2 linked regions of the Lepisosteus oculatus genome follow. The protein of the gene in region 1 purifies or fractionates together with the protein of each later gene. This does not show direct contact. Links are inferred from orthologs where the notes say so. Each region holds a gene or a part of one and is shown in the gene's direction. Other genes may lie near its edges.

The links.
Region 2: the proteins of atp11c (region 1) and cell cycle control protein 50A purify together in Homo sapiens (co-immunoprecipitation; 4 studies listed by BioGRID and IntAct, with this or other methods). This does not show direct contact. The link is inferred for Lepisosteus oculatus from reciprocal best matches to the Homo sapiens genes ATP11C and TMEM30A.

What each region holds. Positions count from the first base shown.
Region 1 is NC_090703.1:49,678,578-49,695,291, reverse strand, and holds the start of atp11c (phospholipid-transporting ATPase IG), read left to right. Parts: upstream 1-9,196; 5' UTR 9,197-9,686; coding exon 9,687-9,713; intron 9,714-16,714. UniProt on the Homo sapiens protein: Catalytic component of a P4-ATPase flippase complex which catalyzes the hydrolysis of ATP coupled to the transport of aminophospholipids, phosphatidylserines (PS) and phosphatidylethanolamines (PE), from the outer to the inner leaflet of the plasma membrane.
Region 2 is NC_090697.1:9,262,416-9,278,832, forward strand, and holds the start of cell cycle control protein 50A, read left to right. Parts: upstream 1-9,981; 5' UTR 9,982-10,224; coding exon 10,225-10,473; intron 10,474-11,498; coding exon 11,499-11,618; intron 11,619-15,371; coding exon 15,372-15,479; intron 15,480-16,417. UniProt on the Homo sapiens protein: Accessory component of a P4-ATPase flippase complex which catalyzes the hydrolysis of ATP coupled to the transport of aminophospholipids from the outer to the inner leaflet of various membranes and ensures the maintenance of asymmetric distribution of phospholipids.

The sequences.
Region 1 (16,714 bases):
GAAACATTTGCTTCAGGGAAAGACAACAGGACGGTGTTGTGGAGTGTTACAGGTTTTCTTAGCATTAAGAGAATTAAGGCTTGTAGACAATGACCAAAGTCGCAATTTCTGGCACATAAGCCCTTTATTCCTAATTCTAAGAACTGACAGCTGATGATACCTCTTGATAAAACAAATTTTGGACATCAAGCATTTATTAATCTTCAACTGTATGACTCCCACTAACCTACAACACTGTATCGTATCCTGTTGTGAGTGTGAACTTGCTCTTGGCTTCTATTCACTATTCAGCCCCCACTAAGAAGACAAGTCCCCGTCACAATATTGTCAAGGCTCTGTTGGTTTTCTGGTTCAAATCCTTGTTCACGCTGTTTGCTGAGTACTTATCCACTGTGACAGCCTTCAGCCGTTGAAAGAGGTCTTCCAAAACCAGATCTTTCCTGCTGGGCAGAGAGTGAAACGGCTCTTTCAGCCCGTGTTAAGTCAGCCCTGCCAAACGGAGCCAGCCCCACAGGCACCCTTACTGTGTCAGGCTTCGGCCTGCCCTGCTCTGCTCTGGCACGGCCACGGAGGTGTTTCATAAGACACCTGCTCCCGAGGCAGCACAGAGAAGGGGAACGATTTCCCAGAGCTTCTCAGAAAGAGTAGGGGTGTTACCCCTGTGTCCTGGACAAATTTCCCCCTGGCCTTTACCAACCATGGCCTCCTAATGATCCCCATCTCTGAACTGGCTTCATCACTCTGCTCTCCTCCCCCCTGAGAGCTGGTGTGTGGGGAGAGGACTGGAGCATCATCCAGGTGGGGCTGCACACTGGTGTATTGGTGACTGGTATTTGGTATTGCTGATTTCTGGACTCGGAGGAGAGACTGGGGCTGTGGACTCGAAATCAGGTTGTGGGTTCAGATGGCGGTGAGCAGCAGGAGTGAGCAGGGTGCCGGTCTCAGACCACCCCGGTTAAACAACCACCCGCGTCCGTGGGTACAAAGCGAAGTCGCTTGATCATAAAACCACCAGCCCAAAGCTACAAAGCAGAATAAAGACGTCAGTTCTGTACCTCAGAGGCAGAGGTACCCAGACTTGGCGTCAGTTTCTGCCAGCTAACTTCTGTTCAACCATTTTTTTTTTCTCCATTTTGTTCCCTGCGCATCTTCAGCCGCATGCTGCTGAAAAAGAAAACGGCAGCAATTATTCGGCATTCATGGGCTGCATACTGGCGGGGCTTTTGTGGGAGCAACACGGTGTACTCCAGACAGAGGAAGAGCTCTTCCTGGCACTGCGCACCTCCGATGAAGCCCATTGTGGGGTTTATATCAACTAGTGTTCGGAAAACATCTTCACTCATCTCCCCGAGCAGCCGCCTGAGCAGGAAGAGGTGCCTGTTCGAGGAGGAGCTTTCATTTTGCCATGTTAATTAGAACCGATGAAGAAGCAAGTAATCCAAAGATGTATGAAGACATCTGTTTTTTTAATAAAATTCTATTTTGGTGCAAATGATCCCGTGAAAGAGGCAGTTTCTAACGATATCGTGACACGAGGCGTTTTCATAATTTAGCCCTGATTTGCGCTGCAAAAGAAGTGAATTTAATTGAGAACTGCATTTATAGCCGTTCTGGTACAATTATACAATTACACTGTAATTGAGTTTCTGCGAGCTCCAACGTTTCCACCAATTTACTGCACTTTCACTGCAGTTAAGCTCCAGTTGCCTTTCATCGGATGTAAATTTCTCTTATTTCATAAAAAATTAAACATAATTACTCATATTCAACTGTGCCATTTTCAACAGGAGGTTCACACTAGTTAGCTTGCATTAAACCTAGAGACTGTCAAATAAGGATTTTTTTAATGCAAACCCTTTTAAAGACATGCGACAGCTGTACTATTAGATGGAAGGTGATTGATGCTGAAATAGCTTGGATCACACTGCTACAACTGGGAGGCCTACCTAATAGTCCAGGTTTCACATTTTAATGGTGTATATATTAAATCATACCTACCATGCTTGTCTGTCCAAGAAGGGACATTATCTCAATTAAAGGCTATGGCTCGTGATTGCAGTCATTCCTCTGAGTCCAGGCATGGCGATTTGCTTTGTCCTGGGTGGGTATCGACAGGCAGCAATGGCTATAGCAGACCTCAGGTGGCTCATAAAGCAAGGATCTAGCAACATCTTGCCCGCTGTGGACAGCCTATCTGGTGAATGTTAACAGACAGTTCCCCAGTAGCATCTCTGTAACAACAATTGCTGTGTCTTTGTTAACATTGCTTCGTATCAGCAGAACACCAGAGAAGGAAAAAAACGTTGCTTTCTCAGATGAGGCCTGTTTGCAAGGCCCAGCAGTGCCTTTATTGTAGCAGGACTGCTCAGATGGAACACTGTACTTCATGCTTTAATTGGGCTATGCTGAAACAGGGCAGCTTTAAACATTTTGTCTGCCCGTTCTCCCCTTTTGAAAGGGGTTAGAAGTGAGACAGAAAGACGGATGTGGCATTTCATCATCATTTCACCCATTTATTTATTTTTTCTGATCCAGGACAAGGCAGACGGAGCTGTTTCACTGTGACACGTGGCAGTTCAGGGTTCGATTCACTGGCTGTCTGAAGCTGGGAGCCTAGGTCTGAGACAAACAATAGATTCTAAGTTACTGTTTTAATTCATATCCATTTTAAGGGGGGAAAACACAGCAAAACTGCTGCCTATTACTACTTGCAATTAAAAGAGATATGGCAGGCAGCACAACAAGCTCCACTCTTAAACAGGCTCTCTGTGACCCAAACTATTGAATAAAACTAATAACGGTGAAAACAGAGGCAGAGAGTGAAAAAGAGAAGGGGAGATTTTAACCAACAGATAAGTACTTAGAGACCTTTATAGAGTATAGTGCTATTATCTCCGCTGAATAAAACTAGGATTTAGTGGTTTTTCCACTTAATTTAAATCAAAGGAATCACCACCTTGCATATTGCGCTGGTAATGTAATGGAGAGAAAATCACAAAAAGGCTTTGTGGGCACTGACACCTCCTATAGTGGAGCTGTGTTGTCCAGCAAGAAAAAGGAGAGAGGAAAGTTTTTTTTTTCTTCACTCACTATCTGCTAACACATTCTAATTGATGCCATTGCATTCCTCCGCTCAGCGCATTCAAAGAATAACGAGCTCAGAGCTGAATGCCTATGAATTGGTCCCTTCCCAGCAGAGCAGTAAAATAGCCCCCCTGCCCCCTCATCCCCCCCCCCACAATCCCATCATCCTAAACCAGTGCCACCACCACTTTCCCCCATTTACCTCCGTCCTGAAGTCCTCACTCTAGTTTAACGCCCATTAATTCAGGGGGATTGTAAAGAAATTCAGCCCACAAAAGCTGTCAATCTCTCCTGCCCCCCCTGCTCCAGCCCGGACCCACACAGGCTGGAGTGACAGCGTACCCTCCTCCACACACACAGTCCCCCCCGCTGCCTCCGTGCACAAAGCTTCAATCTGTCTTTCGAAGGACCTCTCTGACTCCCCCCCTTGCAGGTGCCCATCAAAGCGCCCACAGATGCCCCTGCCAGCCCCTCGGCGCGCCACGCCCAGGAGCAGGACAGGAAGTGCCGCTGACAAAGGGGCAGTGTGGGAAGGGGGCGGCGCAGGGAGGAGGGAGGCGGACAGATGGCCGGGTCTCTCTCGGCCTCCCCGGGAGAGCAGGGGCAGTGCAGGAATGAGCCCTTAACTTCCACTCCACCACCAGAGGCCTGAACAACAACAACAGAGTTTGTTCTCAAGCACCTACAGCTCACAATCTGAACTGGAAAATACCTGTGGCGTTAATAAGTCAATTGGTTGACAGTACCTCGCTGTGCTCATTTAAACTAATTAGAAGTTCAACGCGATCTCAGAGTTATTATTAAGCTTGTACGCCGACACATGCTTGTAGTTTGCTATTCATACTGCAAACAAACACAGCTTCAGAACCATCTCCATGTCTGCGAGCTCTGGAGTGTGACTGCAGCTTGCTGGCATTGCAGAAACATTGTCAAAGGACAGGGACTGCGACAAGCACAACTTCAGATCTTGAAGGTCCAGGGATAAAGACAAGAACTTTAGTTCTTTAGTTCAGCTCTCAGTGTCAAGTACAGAATCCAAATGCAAAAGTGCAAGTAAACTACATAAATATGAAGGCACCTGCATTCTGGAATTATATCTTGTCTTCTGATTCTTTTAATCTTTTTCATTTTTTAAGGCTGGTGGGGTTCATGATGATGATGATCATGATCAATTGTGTATAAAATTATATACATATCAGAACTCTTTCAGAATTCAGACAAAAATATATCGCTTTAACTATCTATGGGAACCTGAATGCAGAAACCTGAAGAATTCAGTGCATTTCTCTCTGTTAAAACAGGACTACAGTTCTTAAAAAAGCCTAGCTCTTGTGACGCCTGTGCACTCAGTACCCGAGCTCAGCTGTGAACACAGACCCTATCATTACCTACAGCCCCTTGGCTCCATTATGTCCCAAGATTATGGTTTTGGTCCTACGAGGCGCACCTGAGAGCCTCCTTTACTGTCTTGACTCTCACTGCTAAATGCTAGTTTGAATAGGGGAGGAATTTTTAACTGAAATGACTAAAAGTACGTAGGAAGAAAACACTCGATATTTCGAAATCAGCACGTTAGTTAGACAGTTAAAGACAGCGATCACTTCAGAACTGCCACAAGTCCTCAAGACTGAAACACAGACGCAATTCAATATTTGTGGTTACTTTGACCACGTGTTTTGGCTCAGCTGCTCTCCGGACTTACTGTGAAAGTGGCATTGTTCAGAATTCTTACACATTTAAGACAGAAGTGTGGTTCATTAAACTAGCCAGTAGCTTCAGGCCTTTTTAGTCACCGTGACTTTTTCTCAGTGGACTTTTTGATTGAATACTACACAAAACAAGAAGCCTGTAATGTAATACGTGTTACTAGGCTGCCACCTTCTGGGCATTCTGTGCATCTGCATCTGCTTCACTTAAAGGCGTTGGTATTTAGAAGGAACAGGTTTTTCTGCGCCTCACGATTTCCAGCGTGCTGCGGTAACAAACAAGGATATTGTAAAAGGAAGAAGCTCTTATTGAGCGCTGCGCTGGACTACGGTATGTACAAAAGCAGATCGCCTAAAACCAAAGCAGACACACGCAAAGTGATCATTAGCGCCGTGCAAAAAAACAGGAAAGGCGCGTTCAGACTAATCTGTTCATATGGCACCTCACTGACACAAAGACAGATCAAGCCGCTGGATGAAGGACCCCAGACAATCGATTAACACGGTCTTCTACTTCCAAACGAAGGGAGTAGCGCCTTGCCTTGCTGTCCTAACCTCGCTTGCGAGCGATCTCCAGTCCCTGTAACCCTGGTGTACTCCTTTCAGACTGACAGCCCAGGGGTCAGCTCTCTGCTCCTTTCAGGAGTCTGAATACCCAGATGAAACTCAAGCATTGTCTTGTCGTGTACAGCCTAAAGGGATTGAATGTTTCCTCTCACCAGTGCCACTAAAGTTTGTTTTTCACCTCTCCAAAGAAGCGGCGTGTGCTCTGACCCTACCGTGGTGACAGCACTCCGCAAGGTGTTCACTGTGTGTATCCTCGCTGGGGTATATCAGCCCGCTTTTCAACAGCGTGTCGGCGCAGACTAGTGGCTCTCCGTAACAGGGCATTAATGAGCGGTGGCTCTGTGGCTAAGGATCTGTGTCTGTGACTGGAAGGTTGCTGGTTCAAATCCCGCGGCCGGCAGAGGAATCCTACTCCGTTGGGCCCCTGAGCAAGGCCCTTAACCCCAACTGCTCCAGGGGCGCCGTACAATGGCAGACCCTGCGCTCTGACCCCCAGCTTCTCTCCCTGTCTCTGTGTCTGTGTCTCCCTGGAGAAAAGCTGGGGTATGTGAAAAGATGAATTCCTAATGTAAGAAATTGTAGAGGGCTAATAAAGAAACATTAACATTAAACACTTACTCAGCTTAAGTACTTTCTGATTGATAAGTCTAAAAGCTGCTGGTTCACTCTGTGTGTATGGGGTTTCAGGTCAAGCTGTTCCAGCAATGACCTGGGCTCTCCACCGACTTCAGAAGGCAGGTCAGAGCCAAAGTTGTGTCTTTTTGGTCCCCTTATTAAGGAAAATAGTTGCTTCCCCCTGAGCATGTTAGATTAGCCCTCGGCTTCAAAATGTGCTGTTGTTTAAGACTATAAATCTCTCGAAAAGGATCTGCGTCTCGCTATCCCGGCACAGGTTCCCTCTCTGAGCAACAGGTATGCGGCCGCACGCCTGAAGCTGCCAAACTGCAGCTGTGTCACTCACGTACCCTTGGTGGGTCTTCCTGCGATCCCTCTTCACGCTCCGTTCAGCACACTTCTTCCGAGTCGCCCTTGTCCGCCCAGACAGGCGTCTCCTGCTCCCGGAAAGGTGTGCGCGGGGCTGGGGGGCCTGATTGACAGCCGGCCCCTGGCCTCGGTGTTTATACTAAAAAGGAATATCGCCCTGCTCTCACCCTGAGCCCCCCTCCCCCGGTCCTTTCTGCTCCACGGGTAGCCGAACCTGAAACGAGGCCGATCAGGACCAGATCTCCACTGTCACCCCTGTCACTCCGCGCCCCTCCCGTTCACAGCCGCGTCTGGAGAGCCTGACAGATCGGCTCTCAGCTCCAGCGAGGTGGAAACAGCGCTGACATCAACGTTATCATCCCAAATACCCAAGGAAGTCTTCAGTTTCCGAACGGATTTACTAAATACAAATGTAGAAGGTACAAGAAAGGATTTTATTCTTTAATAATTAATAATAATAATAATAATTGCTTACACTTATATAGCGCTTTTCTGGACACTCCACTCAAAGCGCTTTACAGGTAATGGGGTCTCCCCTCCACCACCACCAATGTGCAGCCCCACCTGGATGATGCGACGGCAGCCATAGTGCACCAGAATGCTCCCCACACATCAGCTATCAGTGGGGAGGAGAGCAGAGTAATGAAGCCAATTCATAGATGGGGATGATTAGGAGGCCATGATTGGTTATGGCCAATGGGAAATTTGGCCAGGACGTCGGGGTTATACCCTATATACTTTAGGGCTTCGATTTGATGCCCCTACTGATCATTTTATAGTAATACCCACGCAGGGGAGCTTTTTTAAAATAATAATAATAATAATTGCTTACACTTATATAGCGCTTTTCTGGACACTCCACTCAAAGCGGTAATGGAGATCCCCTCCACCACCACCAATGTGCAGCCCCACCTGGATGATCCACCTTTTTCCTCGGCCAAGTCTAGCTTTTGTATTTATGGGAGAATAACGCCGATTTCGAGGAAGAGGCGTTTTGCACATCTGTCTCACTTCCTACTGAGAAATCAGTGTTTCCTCTATTCGTAAAGACAGACACGGAAACCTGCAGAAAACGCCTGTCAAAGGGGAAGAAATGTCATTACTTCCCTTCAGTTGCGAAATAAAGGGAAGGTTTTGCAGTACCTAAAAAGGCCACGGCGGGGAGGTAAAAGCAAACTAAAATCATTGTACCTAACGTTTGTGTACAACAAAATCACACATTTTACTTTTCTTCTCTTTCCAGTGAACTTTTCATTTAATGCGATCTGGAAATATTTCACGTCATAAAAATTGAAATACCTTCTACTGACAGAAAGTTATCTCATTAGTTTATTTTTGAGAGGACTGAATATATTGGAGACATTTGTTTTTTAAAATACCAAGTCGTTTCACATCGGTTTAGAGCCCCGGACATATCTTTAGGTATTATTTGCTACAATAAGAGAGGAACGAGGAGAGGCTGTCTGGACTGTCTAGCTTGTTTGCTAGTTAGTAGCTAATTGACTTCAGAATCTCGTCTAGTCGTTTTCTGAAAGAAGCCAGGGCAGCTCGGTCCACACTCCCACACCCCTTTGTGTAAAGAAGTGCCTCCTGTTCTCTGTATTAAATGCACTTCCAGGTAGTTTCCACTTGTCACTGAGGAATCCCAACGTCTTGAAGGACTCTAAATTGACGGATTAGGCCCCCCCCCCGTGGTCTTCTCAGTTTCAGGCCTGGTGGTTGAGGTGGGGTTATGACACAGGTGTTCGGATTGTGCATACTGTATCTCCAAGGTTATTGTGAGATTCAGTGAGACTTCACCTTAGAATGCATGTTCAAAGCCACACTGGAATACACAGGGGATTGGCATGTCTCTGAACTCTTACTGTTGATTAAACTTTGACCCTGCACGTCTCTCTCTCTGTGTCTGTGTGTGTCTGTGTCTGTGTGTGTGTGTGAAATCAAGTGCCGTTGACGCAGGTATTACACACAAACACAGATGCACACAAGTACTGCGTGTGTGTGGTGTGAACACGGGTTGACGCAGGGACAGGAGTCTGGGTCGCCTTATTTCGGGGCCCCTTGCTGTTCTGCCGTGACCCCTGGGAAACCCCCCAGGTCCCCTCTCCAGCCGCTGTGCGATGGGTGTCTGCGGACGTGCAGGATGTCTGTGCTGAGCCCCACTCGGGGGGCTCCCAGTGTGGGCGTGCTGGTCCTGGAGGGGGCTGGCTGACACAGGGCCGTCGTGATCCAGGACTGGGGCTCCTCTCAGACGGGGGTGGTGACGGTCCTCTGCTCCGCTCAGCGCCTGTGCCTGCGCCATCGAGACCGTGTTTGGGGCTGCAGGGTGGAAGCATGAGTTATTCCACCAAATATTATTCATGCAAATCAACTGAAAACAATTCGTTTGAAACTTTGCGATTCATATTGGTAGATTTTTCAAATATATTTCAGGAGATATTTTTCTTTACCCCCTGAGACTGAATCATTTTAAAATATACGAATATCAGTACTACTTCAGAATCTAGATAGGACCATTTCTTTAACTGCTACTGTAAGCTTTTTTACCAGGAGCTGGTAAAAAAAGAAAAACGAAAAATACTTTTTTATATTTTATTTTTACCGTATTTACAGACTGTTGTTTTTATAAACGGATCAGAGTGGTTCACAAGCAACCTCCGTGACAGTGACACAAAGAGATTGGAATGCTCTTTCCCTTTATTGCCCCTGCAATCGGTTTGATGGTTTTATCACGGGCTGATTGTGAAAGTTTCTGTGAACTTTCTTGTCCCAGCAGCAGAATCTGCGGGGAACTACATTTCCCATGATGCAGAGCGACGACCGTGCGTCGGGGGGCGGCGCTACAGAAAGTGGAAGTGGTAGCTTCGAGGGTAGAGATTGTTTGACAGGGAACAGGGGAGGGGGGAGTTTGCCGTGGTAGCCGGACTGTGCTGGACTTCGGATCCAAACTTTGTCTTTTTTTTTTATTTGCCCGTGTCGGTTGATACGTCGCCCGCTGGGGAAGCAGGCTGGTGTGCGATGAATGCGTCCGGGTGAGCAACAGGGCGCCGAGAAAGATGCAGCCGAGCCGCCTGTAAGGGGAGGACAGCAGCAACAGCCGCCAGCCCGCAACGCGGAAAATCAGTGGGAGAGGACGGTTTGGGAGTCGGAATCGGCATGGACGTGGACACAGCTGTGATGTAGCACAGCCGCGGCGATCCAGCGAGCGGAGCAGGGGAGACGCGCAGGCACTCACACGTCCACGGAGGACGAGCCCTCACCACCCCGAGACAAAAGAAACTGCAGTTCTAGTGTCTTCGGACCAAGTGAAAAAAGAAGAGCCGAGGAGGAGACAGAAGCTGCAATATGCTGCGAAGGAGGTTCAACCGGCTGGTAGGTACTGGAGACCCGACGTTAGACTGTACCTCGACTTCAGACACAGCGCGGTGTGTAAGACGAGGAAGACTGCCGACACACGGGTGCATGGCGATCCATCATCGTGAGGGGCTGCTCTCGGGATTTGTAGCCTCTGAGTCGGTATCTCTCCGAGCAGAGTCGCCCCTTCTGCGTTTCGCGCCGCGTTTCTAGTCATCCGAGTGGCAGACCCGAGCCGCAGCTGGCTGTAATGTGTCTGCAACTTCCTCCGGGAACCCGCGTCATGTCTTCCCTTGAGTTTATTTCCCCGTGACGGACAGCCTGCCCGCCTGCCAGGGGCGCGTGCCGCCAGCCCCTCCACGCGTGTGCGTGTCGAGGGCTCGTTGGTCGCCGGTTTCGGATCCCTCTCTCCCCGGGGGAACGCTACACAGTCGAACAGGGAAGAGACGATTAAAGATAACTTCGCTGTGCCGCCTCTTGCTACGCCGCGCTGTTCAATATTTAATTTCCTAATGCGGCTTAATAGCTGCCCTTCGATCAGGACTGAATTGTCATTTCGCCCCGTCAGGGCTGCGCGCTTTCTCTCGTCCTTTGAGTCGTGTGGCTGGTTTACTGTAATGCGTCTCATCCCAGCCGCTCTGGTGCGTGAGGCGGGTGGGTTGTGTGCCGGCGTGTGTGCAGCGAAGTCGGGTTTTGCTTTCGGCGGTGTCCGGTGGGAGATGGAGAACCCTGCCTTGAATGGACTGGGTTTGATTTTTTTTTTTTAAAAAAAAAAGCAAAAGCCCAGCTCTAGCTGCCTGTTGGTACAAGTTGGTAATTCCGTGACAATCCGAGGCACGCGGCCAGAATAGCGCCTGTCACGGAGCGCAGTGGGGTGTCGGGGGGGGTGTGAGTCACTCCACTCCCCGCAGTAATTACTGCCCTGCGCCGCTGTCACTTACCCCAGAGCCGGAGTCGCCTCTTACTCAAGCGTCCCGTTGTTTGGGCCTCTTTGTGCGCGCCAGCCAATTCTAAAACGATTAATTGATCGGTTAATTAATTTATACTTGATCCATTTGTCCAGCAGCGCGGGTTTGCGTGCTTTCCCAGGGCAGGCGGCGGCAGTGTGTGTGTGTGTGTGTTTAACCACAAGGTCTCAGCTCAGCGTTCAGGTTGCGGTCACTGCTGGGCAGTGCTGGTGTCTCTAAGCTACCCCCACCTCCTGGCTGGCTTGTTTTTGGCGCCCCTGAAGATGTCCTGAGCGCTCATTTAACACACCTGGCTGCGACCTGACACCTGGGCGCTTCCAGGGAGTTCTACTGCCTTTACTGCTCTGTTTCCGAGGTTGCAATAATAATAATAATAAACTTTGTTGTGTAGCCCCTTTAGAAGTGGCTTCTCGAAGAGCCTTAGAGTAAGGAAGAAGCACCTGAGGAGAAGAGAGGAGAGGAGGCCAGACAGTCACACAAGGTGCTCGTGTGCGGTTGTGAGAGAGGTTGTGAATGTGTGTGAGGGAGGAGGCCAGCCCAGATCTGCCCTGGAGATAACCCCAGGGCCAGCTTGCCTGCCCCGAGCAGGTCTCTTCTAGGTGCTCTCTGTCCAGCTCGCTCCCCCGTGAGAGCAGGGTGGCGTCCAGCAGCACTGCGGGACATTGCGCAAGACGGTGTGCTAAGATAAAAATTTAGACGCCTGGCTTTCCTAGCAGCTGGGAAGTCAACACGGGCCTCCGTCCTCGGGCCTCGGGCCTGGTGGCAGCGCTGCACGCTCGCTGGAGAGGAGCGCTGGGTTCCACCCTGGTGCGGGTGATTATCACAGGGGGACTGCCAGGCTGCAGCCGGCCTGCAGACTTTAAGGGGGTAAACGGGGTGAGGGGGAGCCCAGGGCTGAAGGAGGAAGGATTGTGAGCGGAGGTTTCCGCCATTTTCAGGGTTCGGTTTGCTCAGGCATGCCCTCAGACGGAAGAAAGCGATTCTCTCTGTGGCAGGGCGATGGGCACAGGCTGTGATGTTCGCTCGCTCTTACAGGACCGGCGTGGTGGTTATGAGCCTCGCAGCCCTGGTGCCCTGGGCTGCTGTCTGTGTGGAGTTTGCATGTTCCCCCCCCATGTTCCCGTGGGTTTTCTCCGGGTGCTCGGGTTTCCTCCCGCAGACCAAAGACTAGGTGGGTTAACTGGCTTCTGGGGCGGGTGGCCCTGGAGTGAATGTGTGGGTCTGTGTGTGCCCCGCAGTGGGCTGGCGTCCCATCCTGAGTGCGCCCACTGCTCGCCAGGCCCGGGCTCCGGCTCTGTGGTCGACGAAGAGGTGCAGAAAATGGATGGGCGATGCGTGCCTTCAGCGCCCTCTTTTTACAGCGGGCTGAACCTGGGCTCGGGGCGTTACTGTCGCTGCCTTCCAGCACGTTCCCAGAGCCAAACCAGACCGGTCACAGCACGGCACGGGCTCTCTCTGCTCTTGAAAATTGTCTTGAACGCCAGCTCAGCTTTTATTGAAATCGGCCCGTGCCCCTGCAAATTCCAGGAGCGATGAACAACGTGTTCGGCAGAGCCGCCCTGCTGTCATCAGCGCACTTTGTTATTGTCTGAAGTATGCTGCATGCCTCACATGCGCACAGAGCTGCGGTGTTGCGGAGAGGCAGCTGGGCAGCGCTTCTGACATGAAAGGGGAGGATCTTCAGCACAAGATGGCTCTTGTAATAAGTCCTGCGACGGCCCTTCAGTGAGTTTTAAATGCACGAGCTGGGCAGAGCCGCAGAAGCGTGAGGAAGTGTCTTTTAGTTGGAGCCGCCCAAGCAGTGTCTTCAAGAAGCTCTTGGATCAGCATTTTTCTGCCATTCCCCACACACACACACAGAAATGGCTTTTGGTGACTCAGTCACCGGGGTGAAGAGTAAGACCTAGGTTGAAAGGCAGGAGGCACTTCATTTAAATACGAAAACAGGGGGTGTGTTTTTTTTTTACACAAAGGGTAGTGGGAGTCGGGAACTGGCTGGCTGAGATCCCTTGATCAGTCGGCTACCAAAAGAGGTGAAGGGGTTCGATGGGCCGTTCAGCTGCCCTCGTGCTCACCCTGCCCTTCACTCTGGGGGGACTCGGGCTCCCCGCAGCGGCCTTCCTCCTGTCACCCCCCATCCAGCCCAGCCCGGCGGGGTCACCCCCTCCAGCCCAGCAGGCTCACCCCCTCCAGCCCAGCCCAGCCCGGCGGGCTCACCCCCTCCAGCCCAGCCCAGCCCAGCCCAGCCTGGCGGGCTCACCCCCTCCAGCCCGGCGGGCTCACCCCCTCCAGCCCAGCCCAGCCCGGCGGGCTCACCCCCTCCAGCCCAGCCCAGCCCAGCCCAGCCTGGCGGGCTCACCCCCTCCAGCCCGGCGGGCTCACCCCCTCCAGCCCAGCCCAGCCCGGCGGGCTCACCCCCTCCAGCCCAGCCCAGCCCAGCCCAGCCTGGCGGGCTCACCCCCTCCAGCCTGGCGGGCTCACCCCCTCCAGCCCGGCGGGCTCACCCCCTCCAGCCCAGCCCAGCCCGGCGGGCTCACCCCCTCCAGCCCAGCCCAGCCCAGCGGGGATCTGGCCGTAGGGGCCTGGCATGGTCAGTTAGAGAGGTGTCCTGTACAGACCAGCTGCTGCACAGCTGAACAATGAGCATCTCTCAGTTTGCAGTCTCCCGTCGTGTTTTGAAGGGTAGCAAGAGGATCATCATTCTTATTATCGATCCTGAAAGAACTCTAGATCACAGGCCCTCAGCTGCGCACCTGGGTCCCGGCATCTCACCGCAGCGGTAACAGCCTCCTGCCAGCCCGAGCTGAGCTGGTGAACTGGCCGAGATGCACAGCACAATCACAGGCCCAATCCGAAATCCTCTGCTGGCCCCTGTCTTCCCAGGTCGGATTTCTTTTTCTTTTTCGCTTATCAATACAGATTTTTTTAAACAGCAGAATTGACACAATTGAAAGGAAGAAGGAGGTCGGAGCTATTTCGTATTTTATATTTATTTCATGGTGATGGGTTTCCCTTATTGCCCTTCATTCAATGCCCAGGATGTCTGGGACACATTGAAGAAAAGAAAAAGACAGGATTCCCAAGGCCCTCACCTGCTGGGACAGTCGACTCTTCCCTCCCGCTCTCTTTATTTTTTGCTGTCGCCTCTTCCTGCCCCTGAGGAAGATGTGGTGGTTTCTGTTTCAAGCAGGTCCTCAGAAACTGGGTATGGGTTTGCTTCCACTGGGTAGTGCAGTCATAAGTCATTGTGGGTCCTGCTTTGGAAAAACCTTCCCGTTCAGTTGTTTCACTGCCAGCGTTTTGTAAAGAAGGGTCTTTCCCACCTTGTTTTAGTGGGGGGGGAAAAATGGTTTGGCAGTGCCCAGAGCAGACGGGTCTTAAATGCCGAGCCCCTGCTTTTGGAGCTCTTGTGAAGAGACATTTGAAGTCCAGCCCCCGAGGAGTTCTAAAGTTGTCTCCCCAACTGTTAATTATGGAGTTTCATGCCAGCACCACGTGTGTTTGATGTGTGACTGTGGTTTTAAGTGTAGTAGCTTGCAAGCACTTCCAGTCTTTAACCTCTGCTTCTTGATTATTTTTAGTCGCTTTTGTTCTTCAAGTGGTTCCTTATCTGCTCTGAAAAGCAGCCCTGTGCTCTTGTCCCTGCCTGGGACTCTCCTGTTCACAGGCTGTGGTACATTGACAGTGCGGGGCACTCTTTTTTAGAAACCGCCTTCCTTTTTAGCTGCTTACGGCTGTGGCCTAGCTGCTGGAGGCTGAGCTTCACTGGCAGGGCTGGGTGTGAAAGCTGGACCGTGCCGATGAGCGTGCTCAACAGCCTCTTTCACCAGACCTTCCCGTCAGAGCGACTCGGACTTTTCACATGTCCCTTGTGCATGTCCCATGTTGGGATCCGGGCTGCTAAAGGCATGAGGGGCTCCCTGTTCCTGTTTCTGCAGGAAACCACAGGTTGCATGTGGGAAATGAGTTCTGCTTTTTAAACGTTTCTATAATTAGACCAGTACTTACCAGGCTTGGTTGATGGCCACAGTTCTTGGTTGTTGCACGCTATAAAACTAGCTGCATAACATCATTAATTTGTCTTCCATTTTGAATTATTTATAAAGGAAAGCTGATTGCTGGTTATAGCGCACTGTCTGCTTCTGTACCGTATGTGCTGTGTGAGCTAGTCCACTCCACGCACTATGGCAGACGGGCTGTAAACGTGTCAGCTGGTCGGTCATGGCACTGGTGTCAGGCTGCCCCCTCTCGGTCGGGCCAGTGGGCTGCAGTGGGGGACTGCAGTTCGCGCAGGCAGCGGCAGTCGAAAGGAGTTAAGAACAAAAGTCTGGGAGGGGTGACAAGAGGCAAGTTCAATCAGTGATTTGTATTTATTCCTGCCATTTCCTCACCTAAGACGTTATGAATACAAACGCGTTCGGCCAAGTTTGCTGTGACTAGGACACAGTTCCCCGGTTAGCCAGCCAGCCAGTGAGAGTCTGCAGGAATCGGTGGTGAGAGGGGAAATGGGCTGGTCTTATTTAGCAAAAAGCCACCCACACTCTGCCTCTGCAGTGCCCCCCTTGACAATGGCTCGTTTTCAAATTGTAGTATGAAGGGTGTGTGTGTGTGCGTGCGTGTGTGTGCGCGCTGATGGACAAAAAACCATCCCAGACCATAGTAGCGCCTCATGCCCGACTAGGGGGGAGAGGGACCGAGCCCTGTGGTGGTGACCCCGGGCGGTGCACGATTTCCCAGGTGGGGGCACGCAGCCTGCGCCTGTGCTGCTTCCTGATTTATACTCGGTGCTGTCAGGGGAGGCTGGTGCTTATTGATGACAGCTTTGCAGATCCGTTTTGCAGCCATTTGTCTCGTCCTGGACCCGGGGATCAGGACAGAATTGCTTACTTCAACATCTCTCCTGTCTCCCGGCTGGCCCCTGCCCCCCGTTAATGAAATCGGAGAGCCGGAGTCCTTCCGCATCGGATAAAGCCTAATAAATACATCCCCTGGGGAGTGAGCGGAGTGTTGGAGCACTGGAGCAGCAGCCAGCGTCCCTGAGCTCAGCAGTGTCGTGGTCAGGGTCCGTGAGCCCTCTCGTGCAGCGCTGAGGGTGTCCGCGCAGCCGTTCTGCGTCTTCGGAAAGCGGACGGGGGGTGGTGATGGTTCCCAGAGGCTCTGCTTGCTGCTACAAGTGAGGTCCTAACTGGCAGCCCAGCTGTGTTCTTCCTGCGTTTTGTACTCTTCAGTGATTCACTCTTTTCTGAACAGCTCCCTGCCTCTCTCGGTCCCCCCTAGCCAGTAGGAATGCCTGTAAAAACAGAGCCCTGTTCCTTCGTTCATACCGTACATTGATGAAGCTTTTCCCCAGGAGTTGGACGTTCTCCCTCTCCAGCCCTGTCTGTATCAGAAGGTCCTGCAGGGAAAAAAGCGCTAACTGTGGTGTTAAAGTCAGTGCAACGCGAAGGCGTTGGCTGTGAATGGAGAAGATCGAGACCTGTCTTCGGGCTGGCCTCCTGGGGAGCACCGTGTCTAGCAGCAGAGCGCGGGTTTCTTCTCAAAGAGACAAACGGGCGACCGCAGGAAGCACAACTCTCCCAGCGCAGTGTCGGCTTCCCCAGCTCTTCCAGCTGTGTTCACGTTCCTGCAGGCCCCCAGTCGAAACCTTAGGTCCAGTGTGAGATATTATTAATAATAACAACAGCTGAGTAATAATAATCATGATGTTGATGATCTTAATAAACAATCAGTGCACTTATGCATTGCTTTTCTATCCAAACTGCTCCCACTATTTATTTCCTCCCTGGAGTTTTCCCTCCTGTGTGAGGTTCTCCTCGGTGTCAAGGCGGGCTGTTCGTCACTTGCTCTCACGCGAGCCAAGTCCCCCCTTGCACAACCCGCCTATTTGTGTGGACCCCGGCCCCCCTTGTCCAGCCCAGAAGGGGCGAGCTCAGCGAGCTCTGACGAAGGTCTCCTGGGCTCTCGAGCCTGCGTGCGAGCTTGCGAAAGGCTGAAGGCACTTTCCCGATGTCACTCTTCGCGCTCTCAGAGGTATTGCCAGTGACGGGGGTT
Region 2 (16,417 bases), on another chromosome or scaffold:
TGCCCAAAAAGGAGATGTGGTTTAAATGTCGCTTTAATAAGTAACATATTGGTAGTTACGCCACAGCCTCTGCCCTTGTTCTCTCCTCAGCTGAGCTTCCTAGCAAAATAATTTGTTATCGTTAACCATAACACTGTATTGTCTCCACATTATCAAATGTAATATTTTGGTCATGGGTAAAAAATATTTTACATGTGAGATGAAGACACATCCAGTAGTTATCACATAATCCCTCTTTGTAAGAGGCAGTTGCCACAAAATAGCAGACTGTTGTCTTCCTGGTGAAACCCGCAAGATCAGGTAAGACACAGACATGTGTTGTGTAACGTGTTTATTCTTTGATTATTTTTTTTTAGAAAATGTTGTACACCAAATGAGAATGTCATCGAGATGAGGCCATGTAGTTGCATCCCGTCCAGTACCAGAGCAGCACCTGTCCTTCTGGGGGCCTGAGGGGTCACAGGACATCAACGCAAAGGAGTCTGGTGCTGCTGTTGATACCGAAAGCAATTATATATATATATTTATATATAAATATATATATATTTAATTTCTGTTTTTGTTGTACTGATGTACTGTACATACAGTCGTGTGACAAAAGAATGGTGACACTGCCCATGTCTTTAAAAGGTGAGCAGATGATTTCACCCTGCTATATTAAGAAAAGTTGTGTGTGATTCAAAGTAGGGGTGAGAAACTCCCGGTATTTATCAGGGCTTCTTAGTTCAGGTCCCTGTGACCCCACTGTCTGCTGATTTTCATTCCAGCTGAGCTTCCTAATCAGTTAGTTGAACCCCAGATCAGTTGGACAGCTCACCAATTCTTCCTTTTTGAATTGTTTTTAGAGACGTTGGCAATAGAAATTCACAAGAAGCTTGTAAACCACAGCTTTTCAAGATGCAAAGATCTCATGAAAGATAAATAGACAAAGTTTTAGGTCAATTAAGGTTGCAGTCAAGATACTGAGAGGACAGTCAAAAAAAGTAAACCATCTGAACAGAACAGGGAAGCCCTGGACTAAAAACTGTTGACTGTTGTTGTAAAAAAACATAAAGGATAATGTGGATAATTTTCCTTGGCTTTGCTTCCAAATAACCATCCCACCTCATTTACAGTAAGTTGGTCCTTGCAGGTGGTTGTCTTCCTGGCTCTCTGGCCTGGTTGTATTTCAGCATTCAATATTTTAGCACAGCACAGTAGCACAGCTGTCACGATTATAGTCCCCCCTCCTTAAGGGCGCTCCAGCCCTTTCACTTTAGACTTAATTCTGTGCACCTGATCCCTTTTCCCAGCCCACCTTAAAAGCCAGGCGCTGACGCTCATCCTGGCTCTGCATCTGGTTTCCGCACCGTGCGAGTCCGGGACCTGGAAGCGCCCGGTCCCGTTCCCTGTCCGCCGGTTCCGACCCGGTTTATGGTTTTAATTCCTTGTTTGGATGGATCTCCTGGCTTTGGACTTACTCTTGTGTTTTTGGATACCCTCTATGGATTACTCTTTTGGATTGTTTGCCTCGGCCACACCTCCCCCGTGCACCAGCGCACTTTGGACACGCCCCCCTGTTTTCAGCCCCGTATTCCTGCGTGACTTTTTCCCAGTGTTTCCCCACTTCTTCGGTTTGTGTCGTCCGCATAGGGTCCGGAAAGAACTGTTCGTTACAACAGCACTACTGAGCCTACTAGATATATTTGTACCTTAGCGCTCTATTGCTTCAAACGAATCATTGCCTTAATGAGACAGTTTTGTTTCCAGCTGTTAAAATAATTGTGATTCCATGAAATTGATTAAATGTTTCAGGTACCATAAAATCTCCAGTTGTGTAGGTACTGTGAATACAATTCAAAATGGAAATTAGTAGTTTGATTCAGGATTCAGTTAAGAAACGGAGAACTTGTTTGGAAAGAAAATCATCTTTGAAATGCATTTTGAAAAAGTACAAGCAAGGTCCCAAGCAAAGTTTTCAAGTTGAAGACCGTGAAGGAATGAGATAGGAGTTTTTAGGGAAGTAAAATGGAATAAAATAGATTCGGATGGCAACATTTAAACTATATTCTGCTAGAGTCACAGAGCAGACTCATTACTATAATAAATCAAAGTCTAAAAAACAGTGCTCCAAACGGATTAATGGATTAAATAAAAATGGAAGAAGAAAATGTTTAGAGAAATTAAAGGAAGATCCAGTTAAAGAAACTGAGGACAAGGAACTGCAAGCACAAACCAATATACTGTAGAAAGGTCAAGAGTGGGATATGAAACTACAAGAAGATGAGAAAGAAAAGACTAATTGAGGAAATTAATATTTCACCCTGGTGCTTACGGAGGAAGTGATTGGCAACCTGGCTCAAACTGAAGAAAGGCAGGGGTATGTATTACAGTAATTGGTCTCAGCCCTAGAATAGACAGAACTAAGAAGCTGGAGCTCTTAAAACATACACATCTTCACTGTTAACTGAACTAAAGGAAATGGTTGTATGTATTTTAAAACCTTGACAAGCATTTGGGAGGTTCAGCAGAGGGGTCATTACTATTGACTGGAAAATTGCAAGTGTAGCATGCATGCACATAAGGGATGGAGAATCCTTTTTGTCCTGACAGCTCTAATTCTGTTTTATAAGAGGATGAGAATTAGACATACATTAAAAGATTCTCACAATGGTAGAATTATTCTAGAGGGTGATCAGTATGTATTTAGTAAATGTAGGCCTTACTTAAAAAAACCTGTTACACATCTTTCAAAAAGAAACAGTAGGAATTAATTCAAAAAGAGCTTGTGAGATGGTATATTTGGATTTTATAAAAGGTTTTGATCGAGTTCCAGGTAAAATAATATTTCTTAAATGGCAGGCTGGAGATATCAAAGGTATAGATATGTATGTGTTTGGTCTGAGAAGGGGTCAATGGATAGAAAAGAGAGAGTACAGATGAAGGCTGAATGTAATCAATAGTGAATTAGAAGTATCTGGTTTAAGACTTAGTAAGTACATTTAGTAAACTGGTCATGTTTGCAGATGATCCCAAAATAACAGGAAGTTGTAGAAGCTGCTAAAGAAATGCATGAAGAAATGATTCAGGACTGACAGATGACATGTCGTCTAATGCACATTTCCAGTGTTACATGTATGAAGCAAGAAATAAACTGAGTAAAAAATAAATGAACCATTAAGAAGTGGCTTATGAAAAAGACTTGGGAGCTTACATCGACAAATCGTTTTCCCCCTCCAGACAATGCTGGGAAGCAATAAAATGCTAAACAGAATGTTATGTTATGCTACATACAGTACTCAAAGGTGTAGAATTTAAATGAAAGTATGCTATCTTTAAACTGTTCAACGTAATAACGAGACCTGATTTAGGACACTATGCAAAATTTTAGTCCCCATGTTATGAAAGAGACATTACTGCTCTGGAATCAGTCTAAGTGAGACTTGCCAGACTTAAAGGAATGTCTGACATTGTCAGGTTAAAAGAACTGAAACTTTTGATTTTAAGTCGCAAATGAAAAATACTACAGTACGAAGAGACTTAATTATTGTATTCAGAACCCTCAACGGATAGCAAAGACTTCTGGAAGATCAATAGTGAGACATGAAAGGAGGACACAAATAAAAACTGAGGGATATTGAATTTAAAACTGAGAATAGGAGGCAATTCTTTATGCAAGTAGTTCTGTGAAGACTATGAAGACGTTATACAACATGTTGTAGACATTGCCTCACAGACCTACAGTAGACTCATGTACTGTATTAGTAATAAAACAAATCGGAAATACCATATGGCTTGCTTTGTATTCTGTCATATTCTTATCAGTATTTTCTCCCTTCTGTAAAATAATTAAAAAGTGATTTTATCAACTTTGTCCAAATAAAACAAGTAAAATGTAAGCATTTAGCAAAAGATGGACTGTTACACATTTGTTTTTAAAGAAATTAGCCTTAGGTCTAAAATTGGCTAGACTTATCAACAGGATCTCCTAAAAAACCTGTAAAAGAACTGTAAGAAATTTAATCTAGCCTCAATGACTCACACGAATGCTTGAAGTGTGCATTTATGTTACTAAAACCTAATTTTATTTTTACTAGTCAAAGGCTATATTTGAGAAAATAAAAACTTTTTGTTTTTAACTTCCAGACCTGGAAACTGACTAAAACAAATCATAAGAATCTTCACAAAATTAAAACTAAGTACTTGATGCTGAGCATCTATTGGACAGAAGTAGGAACCGCCTGGGAAAATTTGCATCCTTCAAATAGTAAGTTTGCAATCTAAGATTAGTGAGTGAGTGGAAATTTTGACTTAATCCAGATCCACCATCCCAGGGTCAATTAGGATTATAAGTGCGTATCTGAAACTCAACACAGCTGTAACACTAAAATTACGTCATGTAATTCATAAAATTGATGAACTGCAGTTTAGTTACTGTCATCCTTTGGTTTAAGGAATTTTATAATTTAGTAAACATATGTGAATTGTTGCAGATCATCATAAATCTGGCTAAATTAAATTACATCACCTTTGTAAATTTGACACTGGAAGACATCATGGAAATATGAATCCAAATGCATTTAGAAAACAGAGCATCCTTACCTCATTCATAGAGTCTGTGTACAGCTGTCGAAAACAACTTACCAACTAGGTGGCACACAAATGAATAGGTGTGCTTGGCAATCTTTAAAGGAAATTATTAAAATTAAAATTTCCTTGCCAGCAGAATTCTGTCAGCACAGGGGGAACTTAGTGACCTTTGTTTTAGTGGTATTTTCTAAAAAGTTAATGATTTATGCTAGAACTGACGAGATAACCTTGTTCCACAGTTGTTTTTCATATTTAGACTGTGCACCCTAATGATCAGGGTTGAGAACCCTGCTTGCAAATTCTTCGTACACAAAGTCACATGATGGGGAGCTACAAATAAAACATTTTTTTTTAAATAAAATGAACTGCTTGGAGTTATATTTGTTGTAATGAATAAACATTTATATGTACAGTACCTTGTATCTAGGATCATTTTTTATTTAAGGTACATAAGTGTAAAGACCCAATATTAACCATCATACTCCAATAATGCTATTGGATGCAAGCAGAGTCAAACAGTTCCACAGTAATGGATTGTCTGTGTATGTGTGGGGAGAGAGACATGCATTTGTGTGGTATTCATGCACACATTCCACTGTCTTCAATGGAAGACAAATATGTAGCTGTATTTTAATTTTAATCTAATTAGAACTTTTATTTTCTTCCTTTTTAGAGTGTTTCCATATCAGATTAATGACTTGTACAGTATGTTAAGAACAAAATATACATAAGTCATATAATAAACCTGCTCTGCAGCAATGCCATATATTTATCTCCAACTCTATCTCTGGACAGGTCTTAATTCATAAAATATCAATCTATATTTTTTATTAGTCTTATCCAGTACAGGGTTGTGGTATAGATCCTTATTAAATTGTAACTTTTGAAAATTTACAAAACTTAAATTTAAGAACAACTAAAAAAAACATTTAGTTTTTTTTTGTGGGGTGAATTAAGTGATTTACTGAAACAAAATCTGACGAACCTGAAACCTTCAACCCATAATTACCAAAGTCCCTTTATTGAAAACATTTTTACTTGTGTAATTAATATATACCTCACCAGGACTCCCAATCAATAGAACGATGAAGGATGAACCGGATTTGGGCTCAACACAACCAGTGCTGGTCTCCTGATATAAAGTGTTCAGTTGCAGAGCTGGTTCTCCTGGCTTTTGGCAGAGCACATTTCACTAGATACCGTTCAGATATCCTTGTCAACAACCCTGGGATTCATGGGGCTGAGCTGTGCACAGGGTAAGCCTTTGGGCTCATGGTTGGTGACTAGGTTGGTTGGTTCAAGTCCACACTGCAGACACTGCTGTTATGTCCTTGATCAAATCACCTGCCTGCTCCGGTCCACCCAGCTGTATCAATGGGAAACTGTGTTGCTGTGGGGGGGGGGGCATAATCCCTGCAATAGTCTGGTGTGTGATCGAAGGGGGTGGTATGTGCTCTCTAGTCTGCTTAATGATGCAGACAGAAATAAGAATAATTTCTGTCTTAATGAGCAACTTTGGCACCAGTATGGACTTTTTACCCTGAGACGCATGATACTACATTTTTGTGAGGCACTTTGTCAGGTTGCTGTTTATCTCCCTGTGTCTGCAGTCTAACGAGCTCTGATGGTCTATTGGTGGCTTCTAAACTGGACCGAATGTGGATCCTCCATGTCACTAATGCCTTTAGTGAGTGTGGAGCAGGACTCATTACCAGCACTGAGCCTGTTACAGAAGGTGACATCACCTTCTTGGAGCCTGGGTACCCCTGGAATCTGACCTTTCTTCCAGGCAGAATTCACTGCTCTCTGGCGGGCGGTGACCGTGAGGCCCTGAAGCTGGCGTTGCCTGTTAGCGACCATGATCAAATTCTGGCAGGGGCAGAGCCGCGCTCGTCACAGGCTCGGTGATGTCAGCTACAATGAGAAATACAGCCTGAGGCCTCCTTCTCCCCCTAATTCTGGGTGGTACGACAATGGATCAATTGACCACAGGTGTCTAAGCCTCCTCCTGTTTCACTTTAGATCATTACAACTTAAGGAAAACTACGATTGTCCCCCAAGAGACTGCATGTCAGGTTGCAAATGCGTGGTGCTCGAAGAATTCAACTCTAAACTCTGAACGTTGACGTGCAAGGCTTGTTCCACTGTAAACAAAAATGATGGAGGCTGATTAGGCTGTGATTTTTCATGTTGTCAGCAACAGTAACCTTCCAGCAAGGGCCTCTGCTGCCAGGTGATGAAATCTCCTTAAATTATGGTTTTCCTGTCAAGTAACCATGTCAAACACAACACACTGACCCTGGTTTCTCTATTATTGTTGGTTCTCCTTTTTTCTCACATATGCTTTAACAGTATAGACCAGTGGTTATCGGTTCTGGTCCTGTGGTTTCAGCTTCAGCTGGGTTAACACCAGTGCAAACTGGTGCCAGTAACTGATTTGCTTGCTTGTTTAGGCCTCGGCTTCAAAAACACTAAAGTCTTCAGTGTATTATTTCTAACATTCTACAAAACTTTATGAAATCTCTCCTGAACTTGCTGAGTAAGTTCCCTTATTTCTAACTAAAAAGCTTATATATACATAAAGTAATATGCAAGCTTGAATAGGTGACTGTTTTATAATGAACAGATGCACATGGGAATGATAATATATCAATATACAAAACACTCCTTCATGAACTGAGAGTTTTTCCTTGTCCAATCAGTCATATTTCAAGGAAACACACTTGAAATGAGGTCACTTCTGGAACTCACTAATTAGTATAAGGCTGGAGCCAATTACAAATTCCTATTCGCCTTTTTGAGAGCTGAACGCAAATTTTAAATAGGTCTTGAATGAAAACTGGGATTAAGATGGAGCAATCACTCCAACAACCAGGCGGAGCAAAACCCCAAGGGCGGAGATGTCCCCCAGGGCCAGAAAGGAGAACCGCTGGTGTAGAAAGTCTTCATTAGAGAACACAGATCAGCATGGAAGATTCCAGAAAGGCATGGTCTGGAATATTTTAGCAGACCTGAAACCATATCATGCCAGTATGATTATTACCAGAGCCCCAGCTAGCTCTGTGGGTAGAGCATGAGACCCCCTAATCTAATTCACCTATGTATTTATTTATTTTGTTTGTCTTTTGTTTTATAACTATTCTGATGTCTGTTTTGCTTGTCTTGGTCTGGACTGCTGTAACACATCAATTTCCCTACGGGATTAATAAAGTATTATCTATCTATCTCAGGGTAGTGGGTTCGTGTCCCAAGTCGGGCGCCAGGTTGTCTAATAACCCATACTGGGCAGCAGCAGGGTGGGGTGGTGTTGGCGGCGGAGGATCACGTTTCCGTGACAACGGCAACAACGCTCGCGCTATCTGTGTGGAAGAAAGGCCTGGAATCTACTTCTGTATCCTGCCATGAAAACTGTGGATAGTGACAGGGGAACTATCCATAGGATTGCCATGACCCGATGGTACTCATCCCATCCCGTGATTATTACCATGAAGTTCAAGTGGAGAGCTGCGTCCGCATGCGTAGGCAGTGAAGGAACATGCAGAGGTTGATTCCACGCTGAAAGGTAAAAAAACGACACCTGAAGGAGGCTCCACAGTCAAAACCTTTACCTGTTCCTGATTATTGCCATGCCAGTAGAATATGTTTTCAGTGGGGTCCCTGGATCCAATTGGTATGTCTCAGTATTTTTAACAATTATTTTCTTTAACTTGTTTGAGGACCATTTCTATTTACACTATATACTCTATACATATGTTGATATAATTGTAATCGAGTTTATATTGATGTTTTTGGGTGATGCGTTTATCCTGAGACTTATATTTGCACCACTATATACAGCTGGAACAATCTAGCCAGCAGCCATATCACCACTCAACTCACAACTGGCAGCCCACTGAAGCTCAGCAGGTGTGAGCCTGATCAGTACCTGGATGGGAGACCTCCTGGGAAAAACTAAGGTTGCTGCCGAAAGAGGTGTTAGTGTCACCTGCGGTCTATGTGGGTCCTAATGCCCCAATATAGTGACGGGGACACTATACTGTAAAAAGTCGCCGTCCTTCAGATGAGACGTTAAACTGAGGTCCTGACTCTCTGTGGTCATTAAAAATCCCATGGCGTTTCTCAAAAAAGAGTAGGGGTGTTACCCTGGTGTCCTATCCACATTTCCTCCTAATAAACCTGATCTCTGAACTGGCTCCATCACTCTGCTCTCCTCCCCACTGATAGCTGATGTGTGGTGAGTGTACTGGTGCACAATGGCTGTCATCACATCATCCAGGTGGGGCTGCACATTGGTGGTGGTGGAGGGGAGTCCCCATTATCTGTAAACCACTTTGAGTGGAGTGTCCAGAAATTAATTATTATTATTAATCTCAAAGGTACAGCAGCAGTGTCTCTCCCGGGGATCTGAACCAACAACCAGTTCAAGTCCAAAACTCTATCCACTTACTGCACACTCCTACCCTGCAGTTAGTAAACTGTAGATGACTGCAGATATTACCAAAATAGGAGGATCATCAAACACTGTAGAAGATTTAATGGAAACTCAAAATTTCCATTTCCATTGACAAATTCAAGCGAACACATGAACTGTGAAATTCTGAACTTGAAGAGGCCACTTATGAAAAACAAATAAGGTGGTTATCTTGACACAACATTTCAATCTTGACAGTGTGGCAAAGCAATAAAAAAGTTTAGATTGACTTTACTGTTACTTTAAAATTATGTAATGCACTAGCAAGACTTAATTCGCACTCGCAGTACTATCTGTACAGTATTGTTCACTGCGTTACAAGAATTGCGTATTTTTGCTCTGGAATTAGTGCAGATAAATCAGACACAACCTCGAGCTTTAAGGATTGTTCTACACTGACTGACTGAAACGCACAGAACCTCTGTAATCTCAAACAGTAAAAGGGACCTGATTCAAATACACGGCATGAAAGGTTTATTCATAATGTATAATACTGTACCAGAGGAGAAAGCACGGAAGAACTTTATCCTGGGATTTTTTTTTGCTACTCTTGCATCGATCACAGTCGCAAAATGACATTTTATCACACAGATGTATTCCTTAAACGCTTTAGCGACAAGCTGAATGGCGGATTGCCAGCGCCCGAGGCGAATAAGGAATTGCACAATGTGCCATAAACTGGTAACTTCATAAAGCGCAAAGATGCATTATTGCTTTGGCGCTCTGCATAAGAAAAAACATAAGAGTCAAATAAAGTCTGTGTGAGAGACAATAAGAAATTTGCATGCACTCTATTACTAAATTTATCTTAAGAAAATAAATTGTTGTAGAACACATTAAACACACAAACCTAAAGTGTTTTTAGCGCGATTAACTCTCAGTTTCCCCAATACCACCCATAGGAACATCGCGCGTCCGCTCTGCGATTAACAGACGTCATCACGCACGTTACGTGTTTGGGATTTAGAAGCTTCCTGGTTTTATTTAGTCGCTGCTGCTTTTCCTTGATGGGGGGGTAGAATTTAAAGGTTAAAGGAGTATCGTTATTGATATAATTTTTCATCGTAACGAACTACATACATGTAGTTTAGGGCGCCGGTGTTTCACCGATCGCAGCCTCTCGTCCTCGTAATTCTTCTCTCCGGGTTTCTGTGTTGGTGGTGCAGCGAAACGGGATATTAGCCATGATGGCGTCTAGCTATAACGCAAAGGAGGAAGACGGTCACCACTCCGGGGCCTCCGGGCCTGGCGGCGGTGGGGCTATCAAGAGCAAGAAGCCGGACAACACAGCCTTCAAACAGCAAAGGCTGCCCGCTTGGCAGCCCATCCTCACCGCGGGCACGGTGCTGCCCGCTTTCTTCGTCATTGGTCTCATCTTCATCCCCATCGGCATCGGGCTCTTCGTCACTTCGAACAACATCAAAGAATTCGAGGTACGGCGGTGTTGGCATGAGCACAGTATTAAGGGGTAACTGCGTGGTGTCTTGGGGGTACTGCGAATCACCTGTAGCGGTTTCGGGGCTGCAGGTCTCTGAATGATACACTACAGCCTGCGGTTCTGTGTACACTCGGATATCAACACATTATCGTCTCGGCACCAGTCTTCTACAGTGTTATTCAGTAATGAACTTTTATTACTGTATATAACTCAGTATTTTTTTGCATTCGCCCAACCTCGATGTAGTGATTTTTTTTGTTAGGTATGATGAAGGGTGTGAAAACGTATTTCTGCGTCTCTGGTGTGTTGAAATGCACTAGCACTCAATGTTGCAACGTTCATGGCCATACTCTAAACACTGTTGATTCTTCAGAATTAAGCGCCGAAGTGTGTTCAGTATAGGGACATCAGTTTTGCTCTTTCAGTATGACCGGTGTATATTTAGTGCAGTTTGCACTCTGATGTATTGCCACGGTAGTTTTCGTGAGGTTAAGTAAATATTTGATCTTAACATAGAAGGCATATGCAAAGGTAATTGAATTTCTGTTGGCTCATTCGTCCGTGTAAAAGAATGCCATTATGTTCAATCCGAGAATGCCGAGAATGCCATTATGTTCAGTGCCTTCCTTGCATTTAAAATAGTTAAAGCAGGTACAGTATTTGGTTTGCAGGCATGTGTAGACTTTAGGCATACGGTTTATGCTGTGGGTTACAGTAACAAAACAAGTTCTGTATGTCTTTCAGCTCTGCAGAAGAATGAACGTGGAGCTGTGTGTATTACTGCACTCTGATTGTCTTCTCTTAAAGGCATACTTTAGAAGTGTAATTTCAAATCCTTTTGTCCATTTAATCTCTTCATTATTGTGAACAATGCTAAAATATTGTTATACTGATCTTATTGTAAGTGATTACAGCTGGTTTTGTTCCATATTGAATTCTTGCAAGTACGTAAACCAGTTTCTTGTCTCTTAAGAGCTGATTGATTATCCCCTAGTAATAGCTGTGCCTTCTATATTCCAGATTGATTACACTGGCATTGACATGTCTAGTCCCTGCTTCAACTGTTCTCAGACGTACAGCTGGAACAGCACAAAGCCTTGTATGTGCTCTGTCCCTTTTACACTGGACCAGCCCTTTGAGGTAAGACCGAAGTGATGTGTAAGTTTTAGAGTAACTGTAACTTCATCCATTACACTTAGTCCAGTACAGAGTCATGTTGAGCCAGAGCCTGCGCTGGCAGACGAGATATGAAGTCTGAAAGACCCTGGATGGGACAATTATAATATTATGAGATGCAAACTAATATCCACCCACATCAAATCAAAGTTTATTTATCAAATGCACAACAATAATTGCTGGCAATGAAATATTTCAAGAATCACAAAAATCACAAAATTAAGGTTACAAAAATAAGGTTACCTGATAATAGATAATAATGTACTAGTAACGGAATAAACCTCAATATGAATAGAGCTGCTATGTGTCCATGGTGTATGCAATATATTATGTCCAGGTAGTGCAGTATGCTGAACTGTGCCAATATTCAAACTTATGTCTATAAGTGTTTGTCGGTCATATCTAATCACCGAGCAAACAGTATGTGCAGTTAGCAGTACGAAAAACAAAACAAATAAGAAATAGACAAGGATGAATGGGAGCTCGCAGGACGGCAGCCTTCCCTGTCGGCGCCATTTTACAGATCTTTTCCATCCATTTTCTAACCGCTGTGTCCGGTTCGGTGTCGTGGGGGAGCAAGGTGGGATACACTCTGGATGGGACACCAGTCAATGGCAGGCAGACATAGACACATGCTCACACCAGGCCCAAGTATGTGTTTGAACTGTAGGAGGAAACTGGAGCACCCAGAGAAAACCTGTAACATACATGTGGGGAACATGCAAACTCCACACAGATCTTGTCGAACCCAAGCTCCAGCAGTGCAAGGCAACAGTGCTAACTGCTGAACTGCTGTGTCACCCTTAAATTGGTATATTTTTTGAGAAATAACTAATTTCTCCTTAGGGAATTCCTGTGCATGAGCACTGAGAGAATAATTACTAGTAGTTGGCTGGAATATGTGTAAAACGTATGTCCTGTCAGAATATGTATTGGCTTACATTTAGTGATTAAATGTCAATTGTTCGGACAGCATCTGAGGTGCCTTTTCAGATGAGCTTCCAGATTCTCATCTGCTTGCGCTGCTATTAACCATGCTCACAATGTCCAAAGCCCAGCAGCACTCATGAATCAGAGTTATTTCTCAATGAATAATTCATGCAATGGAATTTTAGGTCTGGAAGTGATGCGCACAAGATCCACCTGAGACACAAATGGATGACTTTTGTTTGATTCATGAAAAACATTCACCTTTGAATTTTACATTGGTTGAAATTAACCCAGTCGTGTAATTATTAGCTGTATGTGAAAATAGTGCATTCTAGGAGCCCAAAAGTTTTCTTTCTTTTCAGTTTTTCATTCTGTCTTAATGCAGAGTATTTTTATTGGAAACCCAGTCACAGTGAGATTAATGAGTCAAGCCTGCTGGAAGATGCATCATCTGTGACAGCTTTTAATTATACATAAGCTTGGTACTTTTTAATATTTATGTGTTTGCTAAACCCAAATACCGCAAGAAGCATTTACTTTTTAAATGTTAATTGTTTTATTTATGCTACCTTTGATACCTGTTAATTGCTTTCTGGGTGCAGAGGAGGTGATAATCAGTTAACTCTCCATTGTGTATGTTAATTGACTGCAAACTTTAAACCACCTCAAATCACTTGCATGTCTCTCACTGTGACTAAGTGTATCTAGCCTTGAAAATAAAAAGTGGGGAATGTTTAACACAAGAAAAGTTTATTAACGAGGTTGTTAAGCCTATCTCAGACGCCTATCTCAGATGGTCATTAGTAGCTTGTTCTGTAAATTGTCTAAATCCTCATTTTCTGACAACATGTTATCAAGTTTTTGTGCCTCCCAGCTGTTATATTAGTAATTAAAGCTAAATACATGTTATAAATGATTAAGCTCTAACATGCTTTGGGTAGTTAAACAGGTCAAAACTACTAAATCGACACAAGTTCTTTAGATTAAAGGATGTTTTATTACAGTGTTTTGTGGATTGCTAAACTGAAAGACGGTCATTGTAAATCTATTTAGATACACAGCGTCTGATATCTTTAAATCTAATGCAGATGTTACAGACTAGGGATGGTCAGGACAAGAGAGTGCAAAATCAGATAATCAAATCTGAGTAGTAGGTCTAATCTGGTCACGTGAGTTCTCTGATACAGCTCTGGTAATAATTCAGAGGTAACCATGAGCAGACAAATATTTATCGGCCACACTGAATAACAAACACAAAACATACAGCCTAACTAAAACATTAAAGGTTTCACTATATGTAAATCAGCATGTCTCAGAGACCTATGTTCTATAGACCCAGAAACACAAAGCTAGCCCTTTAGTCTGACATCCTACGTAACAGTTTGACTGGCCAGCAGGAGTGATGAAACGTGTGTCCCGAATAAGAGTATGACCCAGCACTAAATCTGCCGTCCTACAACATGGATGGCCCCAAATTAAGGGGACTCTGTCTTCCCATTCAAACAATGTTTCACCATAACTAGAAGAGATCATCTTTAGCCTGGGTATCCACAATAAAGAAATTCAGAATTTTAAAAATAAATAGGACAGTAAGCTGTCTGAAAACAGGCTTTGCATTACTTAGCCAGTAGCTGGTGTCCAAGACTGATGAGAACAAGGTCCTCACCTTGTTTAGAGGAAGAGGAGGCTGATAGTGTTTTTCTCTCTGCCTCTCTCTCTACCCCCTCTTCCACTATCTCCCCCGTACTTTCTCCCCTGACGTTTTATCCTGTTAATTTGGAGTAAACCAGAAAAATCCCTTTGATCAAATACGTTTCTGAAGGCTCAGTTGAAGCCGGTTAAACTGGAATTCTTTCTTTTTATGGCAGCTTAACTCGTAACGCAGATTTTGAGTTTCTAAAGATTTTTATGCTATCTTCAATGTGTAAATGTATCACAAGACTTTAATTTCAGTTGAATGGTGATGTAAGCCCAGAGCGATTAAATACAACGTTCAGCCTTGTTTTCTGCATTGAGTGTTGCTATTCTTAAAGCCAGCCTTGTGTATTGGAAAATGCTTTACCTTGGGCAGGCATTAGAGTGAGCAAATGAGGCTGGATTTAGGGAGCTTTGACATACAAATGAAGGATTGTTTCGAATAGGAAATTAATTCATGATTTTTGAAGTGATATTTGAGGAACCATCCCTGCATTGTTTGACAACAATCTTAAAAAAAAAAACCTTAACATTTTGAAAACCGACGCAACTAGGCTCACCCAAGACGTGCTGATTTTACATCCAATCCTGGACCGCTTCAGTCACTTGAAATGTAAACAAAAAAAACAATGCAAAAGGAATTTTTAAATAAGGTTTGTTAAAATGAATGTGTGCAAATATTACAGAAACAGTTCTTAAGATATGATTTTAATAAATAATAAGGATTGGTATAAAAAATTGAAAATGATACAGATTTGTTTTAGAACATGTGGAGGGAACAGAGCACCACATTCATTTAAGGATATTTGAGACAACATCTCCCTGAACAGCAGTGGAGAAAAGTTATATTACTCTTGGGAACTATAAATGTTGGTTGAGATCCTTGGAGCCTGGATGGGCCGAATGACCTCTTCCTGTGTGGTAACCCTTCTCTATAAACTCTTCAGCTGAAGCAGGGGATATTGTAGGACGTTGGGGTGTGATCTCACATAGCCCACCGACTTGGCTGGGTAAATCTGGCTGGGTAAATCTGTCTGTTGTATACCCTCGTGTGCAGCGAGACTCCACTTGTTGAAATCTGCTTCCCTCCAGAGCAATGTCTTCATGTACTACGGGCTTTCCAACTTCTACCAGAATCACAGGCGGTATGTGAAATCGAGAGATGACAGCCAGCTGAACGGTGACAAATCCTCGCTGACGGTAAGCGATGGCCATGAATCGGAATATTGCAGTTTCAAAGAGGCTTTTCAAAGGTAGGGGGGTAGTCCCCGGTGCCCTTGGAAAAACACGACCGCCAGTAAGCTAGAAACAAAACCTATATACTGTGTATGTAGAATTTGGTCATTTTTGACTTGCAGTTTTTTCAGAGTAATGCAGCATTGTATGCATATTCAGTTTCGCAGGTTTAATTACTGATTGAGAAATAAAGAGCAACTTTGTTGTCTTAATTTATGGACATATGTAAACAAAATATGCAAACATTTAAGTAGTTCATGTACACTTTCAGTATAATATTAAATAATCAATTAATGATCCTGACAAGTAAGGGACCTACAAATATTTAATATTAATTTTGTCTTGTGTGACAATTTTAAATGATTTATAAATGTTGGTTCTCTCTTGTTTGCTCCTGTTTTTCAAATGTATGTTTTTCATAATGTCTTTAAAATTAGATCTTTCAGTTTGTTGTGTCTGTGCTAGAGGTCACAATGTGGTTTGTTCCTTTTGGGAAGAGAAATTGCATTAAGTGCCTGAAATGACAGACACGTGTTTCTTCTTGTAAATGTTAAAATTATATGTTCAATTATTTGCGAAGCTCAACAACAAAGTAAATGTATTTCATATTGTATATGTGTATTTAATGCCTTTAAGCCATTGTATTGTTGCAATTTGACATAATTTAGACATGGCAAAGGTGATTAACAGTTTTTTTTTATACCTGAAGATCTAATATTTTCTGATTAAAGTTCCATATTGTTCTGCTTATGGAGCAAACGGAGGATACAGTTAGTCCAATTTCGATGTTCCAGAGGATTCACTACCACAGCGTCCCAACTATGTGACAATGATAATGCAAATAAGCTCTGTGGCTTTTGATGGAAAGTTTGAAGTTCTTTTTGTTTCAAATCTTTGAAAGC